Linked DNA regions of Drosophila melanogaster. The protein of the gene in region 1 interacts with the protein of each later gene in a pairwise test. Each region holds a gene or a part of one and is shown on either strand. Other genes may lie near its edges.

Region 1 (3,756 bases):
CCCGAAGTTGTTGGCATTAGCGGAAGGGTTGAGCTTCGGGCGGGAAAACTTTGGTTGGCCAATATGGGTGGGCAGACTTGTAAGTTTTCGAAATTTAAATATGTAATTAGCTACTATTTATTTCGATACAAGAACATTTCAACGAGCTCTTATTGTATGTTTTCTAAAGTTCAAACTTTTTATATTAAATACCATTAGCTTTTAGATTTTAGATTGGCAGTGTGCATATAGAATTGTGAAATTTGCATTCACATTTTCTTTGAAGTTAATATGACAATCAAAGTTTGTTTTTATAATAATACATATTAATTATATATTTCATAAGACGATGGCTTTATTATCAAAGTTTCTCTTTAATCCCAAGCATTTCGAGCTTGAGTCATTTCCCTCTCATAAACGCAGTTAATTGTTTTCAGTTTGCATTACTATTAGTTTTTTATGAACTTTGCCAGCAGCTGGCAAAACAATTTGCCCGCTGCCTTGTCTATCTAGCATCCATTCAGCCCCATTCCGCATCGCCCATCCTCTTTTTCCCTGGCTCTTTTTCTGTGCGAAGGGTCCTTGGTGATCTCCTTTAAAAACGAAAAGGAAACTGAAATTGTAATTAAATTTTTGCCAATTCGTTTAATTGAGTTTTAAGCCGCAACTTCTGAATGCCCGAAATTGAAAGTACCCTCCTGCAGACCCACAGCCACTTCTTAAACCACTCTCTCTCTGGTGAACTGCTTAAATATATTTGCCTGATGTTGGCTCGGTTGTGGTTCCAATAATATTTTTTATACATTTTACGACCGCTAGCTGCGACTGTTTGGGCCGTAATTAAGTGCGTCTAATTTGTGTTAAGCGCCGTGCCACTTGAGCATCGCTTTTACTTTTCGTGCTCCAAATTTATTTTTTATCCCAACCTTGGTCCTGCGTGCTTAACTTAAGCCCATACGTTCCACCAGGCCAACAGTAGCTGCAAAACTCAAAAGACCCATTTCGGAGCGGGCTAAAGGCAGTCGAAACAGGGCTTTAAAGGTTGTCTGGGTACAAACTGCCGTTAAATTGCCACTTCCCCCTGGGATTTTATACCGTTTTTTTTTTTGTGAAATGGAGGCAGACGAAATAAAACATTTTTTGAGTGATTTCTGTATGTGATTTCGGTACGCTTCGCAGAATTTTGAACGAGTGTTAGGGGCTGAAGTGCATGAATATCAACTTTTAAATGAAAAGGTATTTTGCACTTGTATATTTTGAAGAGTAAATGAAAGTGATTTTGAAGTGAATAACAGTTGCTGAAGACCTTAGATTAAAACTGTAAAAAACTAAGGACTATTTAGCTAGGCTTATTTGTTGCATTTGTTTAGTAAATATGTTGTGGATTAATCCTTGAACATTTATAGGTCCTACCACTTTTACTTTTAAGCTGCCATCTGCTTAATTTTATCTCATGGCACATTAAAACTTTTTCTTCTTTCAGCATTTGTTACCTTCCTAATTAGCGCATTTCCTCTGGGGTTTTTTAATTTGACTCAGCTTCTATAGCTCTTTTTACGCTTCTTTTGACTTACCTCATTTGTGGAGCTTCGGTTTATTAATTCACCAATTGTAAAGTTTATTTGAGTTTCACACTTTGCACTAACAAAACACTTTCTGTTTGCTTCGCTCAGTTTTTTTCTCCGCGCAAAATTAATTGTATATCCAATTTGTTTATTCCCACTTTTTACCGGCGAGTTGCGGTGAGAATTTCGTCTGTTTTCTGAACTGTTACTTTCATATATTCGGTCTTGTTGTTTTTGATTGTTTTGGCTTTAATGACGAACGCAGCTCTCGGATTTTGCTGCTGTCGTTACGCGACCGAAACGGTAACTGCTCGAGTTTTTATCAGTGCTCTACGTTTATAAGGAAAATCCGAGTGGAGCTTTTCCCGAAGAGCTTTCCTCTGGCGAGAGCGTCGGAAAACGAACGGAAGAGATACATTTTGACCAGTTTTCATGTTTAGACCAAATCACAGGATACCTTCCCCCTGTTTGCCGTCAATTGTTTTAAGTGCAACATATCGAAGCCAAAGTCAAACACAAACATTTCACATTCTTGGCAGCTTGTGTTCCACGCTTCCTGTTCAAAAAAAAAATAAGGAAAATCGGAAAACGGAGGCAAACAAAGTGCAAGGAAACTGCATGCAAATGATTTCTAGCTTATAAATTATGCAGGTGAGAAGAGCAAATAGTGTCTGCCAAAAACAGGAGAAGAAAAGTTGGAAAAAGTGCAGCAGCCGCAAGCAGTCGAGCAAATAAACTTCAATTTATCTCGACGTGAGTTTTGGTTTCTGACGGTTCCATATGGTTGCTTTTCGTGGTCTTTCCTTTGTTTTATAGCAAGGGTTTTGTTAAATTATCTGGTAAGAGTAATATAAAGCACGAAAAAAATTTAAAGTACGAGTTGGCTATCTGTTTTTTATAGTTCTCTATTTATCTACATAATAAAAGTTTTCAAAAATGGAATTATATTGATGTTACTACTTCCAATAACATTGTTTTTTTTCGAAAAAAAAAACTGGATTCAGAGTGTGCCGGAAAACGTACAGTTCACTTACAAAAAACAAATTATTAAAGTTGAACTTTCTCTCTGGCTCCGTAATTGAACGTTTCGGTGTGCATTTTGAGCGGAAGCGGAAATGCCGGCCATCGCAAAAAGTAAACCAGCGTGATGGAAGAGGCCAGCGTGTTTTGCCACTGGCGATTTCGTTTCGGCCTCGTTCCAATGTTCTTACAGGCTTTCGCCTCCTTGTTTTTGTGGGTCCACAGCTCCTGTGTCATATGCAAATTCCAATTCGTGAAAAACAGACGAGGGAGGAATATGAAAGGTCGGGAGGAGCGGTGGCAGCGAGCTAGGAATATAAATATCGATTAGATAATATCAAACTAGATGGCAGGCTGACAAGGACCTTAAGGCGGCATTGAACTTGTCTCGCCGCGAGGGAGAAGGAGCGAGTGTTTCCGGTCTCTTCATCTCCCTCTCGCGCTCTCTCTCTCTCTCTTTCCACACAAACACACTCCAGCAATTGCCTTGCATGATTTAATTATTTGTAGCATACTTTTGTGCGCCGACCAAAAACTTCACACCTGAATGCACAACAAAGTGGGGGGCTCAAGTGGTTCATCGGCCGAGTGGTGCAAAACTTTTGCCACTTTTGCCACTTTTGCATTCAGGGCGCTGCAGAGCACAGAAGTTGTTGTTGAAGGACCTCCGAACCTCTGCGGTTTTCGGCCGGAGGATCCGGGTTTTTCTATGCGAGCCCGAATGTCTCAATTCATTTTACGCCACACTGCGCCCCAAGTGGAGCGCACCATGCAAAAAAGGGCTGCCGATGCGGGTTTCGGGCCACGGGTTGTGGGATACCCCTCAATCTGTAATCTTTATGGGTCTCTCACTAATGTGGTAATCAGGCATCCGTTGGATTGTTACTTAGTATATTAATAATCTTCATTAATTATTTACAACAAGTTGCAAGCAAGTTTGTATCTGTTGGATGCAGTGCTACTAACTACCAGCGTATTCAAATGATTTCCAATCACTGGGTATCCCCAATTCGACATATTCAACTTGGGTGTAAATTCTTGATCTGAATGGGTTTCGGGTCTGCCATTTGAGACGAAGAATAAAACAAAACAGAATTTGTGGAAGGGCGGCAGCAAAAGTGCAAGCAACGCAGAAAAGGACTTTGGCATCATTACAATTTGTTGATTTGCTTCGTTAAACAGCAAACAACAC
Region 2 (3,756 bases), on another chromosome or scaffold:
ATACTGCACAATGTATTAAATGTGCATGTAGATCCACATACATATGTATATCTATCTATTCGTCTAAATAACAAATTAACTAGGATTACCTCCAGTGTCATGCAAAATCGTAATCTCCAAAATATGATAAGAGAATTAGAATTTCGACCCGAAAGTAATCCTGGGTTTTCGCGTATAGAGCAGGCAAAAATCGATGGACAAGCAGAGGACATGTGAACGCCTCTAACCTCTCATAGATTATGTAGATCACATTTAGCACGCGCCACTAACCAGCTGCCACGTATTAACCAATTATAATATCACCAATTTAATAGGCGGCAACCAACGAGACCTGGCCCGCCAGAAGAACCAGAAGAAGCAGGCGGATTTGACCAAGGGAAAGCGAACCGATAACCTCACCGTGGAGCAAAGGAAGGCCAGGTGAGTGATTTACATTTTCAATGTATAATGTATAAGATATAATATTATTAATAAACCAACCCATAACGCAGGGACGCTGAGTTAATGCGGGAGAAGCAGAAAAAAAAGGAAGAGGCCGCTGCGGCGGGCACAAGCAAATAGTCAACCCACTGGCTTGATAGAGATCTGGACTCCCGGTTGCATTTCCGGACAGGTTAGGCTTATAGTCAGTCGTTCGTCAGCCAAGACCCCGATTCGCCCAAGGACCTAGGATAGTTGGTTAGAATGTACATGAAGCAACATACATAATTCACGAGAATTGTATACAACTACGCATAGATATTACCGGGCTGTACAGCACGCGACATAGCAATAGCAATAGCAAGTGCCACCCAAGGACTTCGATTCTGTTCCGGTTTTTGTTCATTTTCGTTTGCAGTGCTGCTGTACGATAATTAAGTAATCTTACATTTTATTTCTCCACCTACCTGACTAAATTATTTACTGTAATGTATATATATAAATTTTCAAATAAAACATAATATGCAGCCGACAGAAAGACTCAATTATGTGTTATTGTGTTTGACGAAAATATATATATAGATTATGGCACTCGATAACGGTCGATTGCTACCGAAAATTAACTTTAACTAATGAATCCCTTTTCTAGCAAATATGGTCGCCGAAGAGAGAGATATAAAGATTGATAATCCCAGAGCAATCCCCATAAGTATAGCTCAAGAATGTTAAATATAAGCCTTAGATCTTTAAAATCGGAGTATGAATAGGGCGCTGGATACGACCTACTAAACTTCCTGGTCTGATTTAAGCATGACCTAATGAGGTATTTAATTTGCCTCGAGTCATGCTGAAATTTGCATACAATGGAATATGGATATTTGTAAATGGCACGATTTGATAAATATGAAAGTAGCTGCATGCCAAAGCTTGCCCCACAAAACTATCGCCTAGATGCCAATAAGTCGATTGCTAGCATTTACCTTTTACAGAATAAATGACCAAAAACCTGGCCACTAACGACTGGCAGATGCACACAAAAAACATGCTGCTAAATAAAATTTCAGTTTTAGTTTAATTTTATTTTATTTATGTATAAGAAAAGATATCAAGAAACAACAACGAATTTTGCGCAAGACTGGTAAACTAAGTCATTGAAACTTAAATACTGTGACTTTTATCTTTTGGAATACCTATCTGTTTTCGAATAGATCTTCATACATTGTGCCACAGTGCACGGTCTTATTCATGGCCAATAAAGGCAGATGGGGTCATGGCGTGCTGATGTATCTTCGGCTGAAATCTCGAGTTCCTTCAACGAGGAAAACAACACGGATGTAATGAGAACGTCCACTGATTTGTTTGACTTGGCTAGTGCAATGCGCTGTAGAAGATCGCCTCACCATTGTTTGACCAAGTGCTTGATATCTTCATGCCGGAACAGCAGAGCAACGTGGGCCATCGAAACGCCTAACTGGTTTCTGCTGTTTCTGCCTCGGAGAAAGCTTCTTGCCGGTCACGCAAAAGCTGTCTTAACTAAAAACAGCGTCCAAGTTTTGAGAACTTTTCAGCCAGCTAGCCGAGAACGAGCGGAAAAATCAACTAACGCTCGCAGATGTGAAAAATCGCGATCGCGAGTCGGCTCTCACGTTGGCGGCAGCAGCCCGCGTTTTCAGTCGCTCCGTGAAACCCGTCGCACTCACATCGAAATCGCGCGCAAGTCGTCGGATCCAAATCGCCTCGAAACGCTACGCACTTGGAGGAGGCAAATATCAAATATATGAGAATAATTAGTTAGGAGGCAGCCGAATCAGCGGAATCAAATCGATTTCCCTCGACTGCATTTAGCAGTGCTGCACCATCAAATCAAAAATAAATTAGAAAGTGTAAGTGAATATATGGCTGGCTGCCAGGAGACTGACATTATCAGCGGAGAAATGCAGGCAGTTGGCAGCCGATTGGGCGGATCGGGAGATCAATCGATCGCCGTCGCATGCAAATCGAGTGATAAACGATCGCCTCGAAATTGAAATAACAGGCGAGCAGCTGGCCCCCGGAGGTGGATACATATGCATATGTGTGATCAAACAGAAGTGTTTCTCGGGGAAGGGCGGCGTGAGGAGTGGGAGGAGTAGGTAGCCCCCAGTAGCCATATACTCATATACCTATCTATACTATACAGCCAGTTACCCGACTTGAGGCGCGCTCGTCTGCCTTGCGGTTGTATGTGCTTATTTATACAAAATATATTCAATTTCATTAAGCTGTCGCTGCTGGCTGGCCGTCCAGTAATTTCAATATTCAAATGATCGCTGATAGCTAAACCCCCTGACTTTTTTACTTTTCTGAGCGCCCGCAAAAGCTGCGGTAAAATTGAGAAAACCGCAGCGTATAAATAATTGGAAAACAATAATGCCACTGTTTGATCGCTGACCCAAATTGGCAGAGAAAATGAATGCATCTTAATGAAAACAGAGTCAGTCTGTTTGCTGCAGGCATAGCGATCTATATAGTCGATGCACTCGGTGATGTCAGAATTGCGAACTGACATTGAAAGTCTGCGAACGGCGACAACCTGAAAGCCTTCTTCTTTGCCTTTTTGGGGACCTCAAGTTGAACACGTTGCGAGTTTAGGGATAAGTGGGCCATCCAGCCCAGTGTTCAGGTGTGCGGGGGCGTATACGTAATATGCGCGCCTGGCATACATTTCAACTGAGCCACATTTTGGCTATTCGCCTCAGTCGCGAACCATAAAAATCACATCAAAGCCCCAAATGAAAGCGTCGTTCATTGAATCTTAAGTGGCCACTCCTCCTGGGAAGTAATTATAAAGGGAAATAAACGGTCTTCAAGACAAAACTGTTTCTAATCCATCCACATTTGGCAAAGTTCAGTGACGCGCATCCACTTGGAAGCAGTGAAAAATGAACAATGTGAAGGTTACTCAATTTACAAGGCAACAGATAACGCCACCAAATTTTATTTGACAAAAAATATTCTGGCAGAACAAGCCAAGGCGTTCGCACACCTACGCCATACGAGATGGCACATGGGCGTAGAATTCTCGACGAACAGGTGTTGAAAATCATAAGGTGGAGTCCCATTCCTGACCCCAGACAGCCACTGATCAGAGATTGTGAGAGCTGTTCCAAAAGTTCCACCGCTTTTGTCGACTCTCTAGATTTCTAGTTGCTCGCGACCTTGTGATCTATTAATAAGTGTTTCGTGTTTTTATATATGAATCATTTTGATGGGCGATCTGTTTATGAGTTAACTTTCGTTTGGCTGGGAAAACGAAAAGCCCAAAATCCGAAAGATCCCCGAAAATTGAGTTTTTGA

Evidence for each region. The genes of interacting proteins can lie anywhere in the genome.
Region 2: the proteins of CG32204 (region 1) and CG10311 interact in a two-hybrid assay, tested with the Drosophila melanogaster proteins (one large-scale study listed by BioGRID).

Annotation. Positions count from the first base shown.
Region 1 is NT_037436.4:18,944,180-18,947,935, forward strand, and holds the start of CG32204 (uncharacterized protein), read right to left. Parts: upstream 1,860-3,756; 5' UTR 1,554-1,859; intron 1-1,553.
Region 2 is NT_033777.3:16,355,347-16,359,102, reverse strand, and holds the start of CG10311 (uncharacterized protein), read left to right. Parts: upstream 1-2,087; 5' UTR 2,088-2,303; intron 2,304-3,756. Other genes in the region: CG17931 (uncharacterized protein), read left to right, coding at 315-420, 492-561.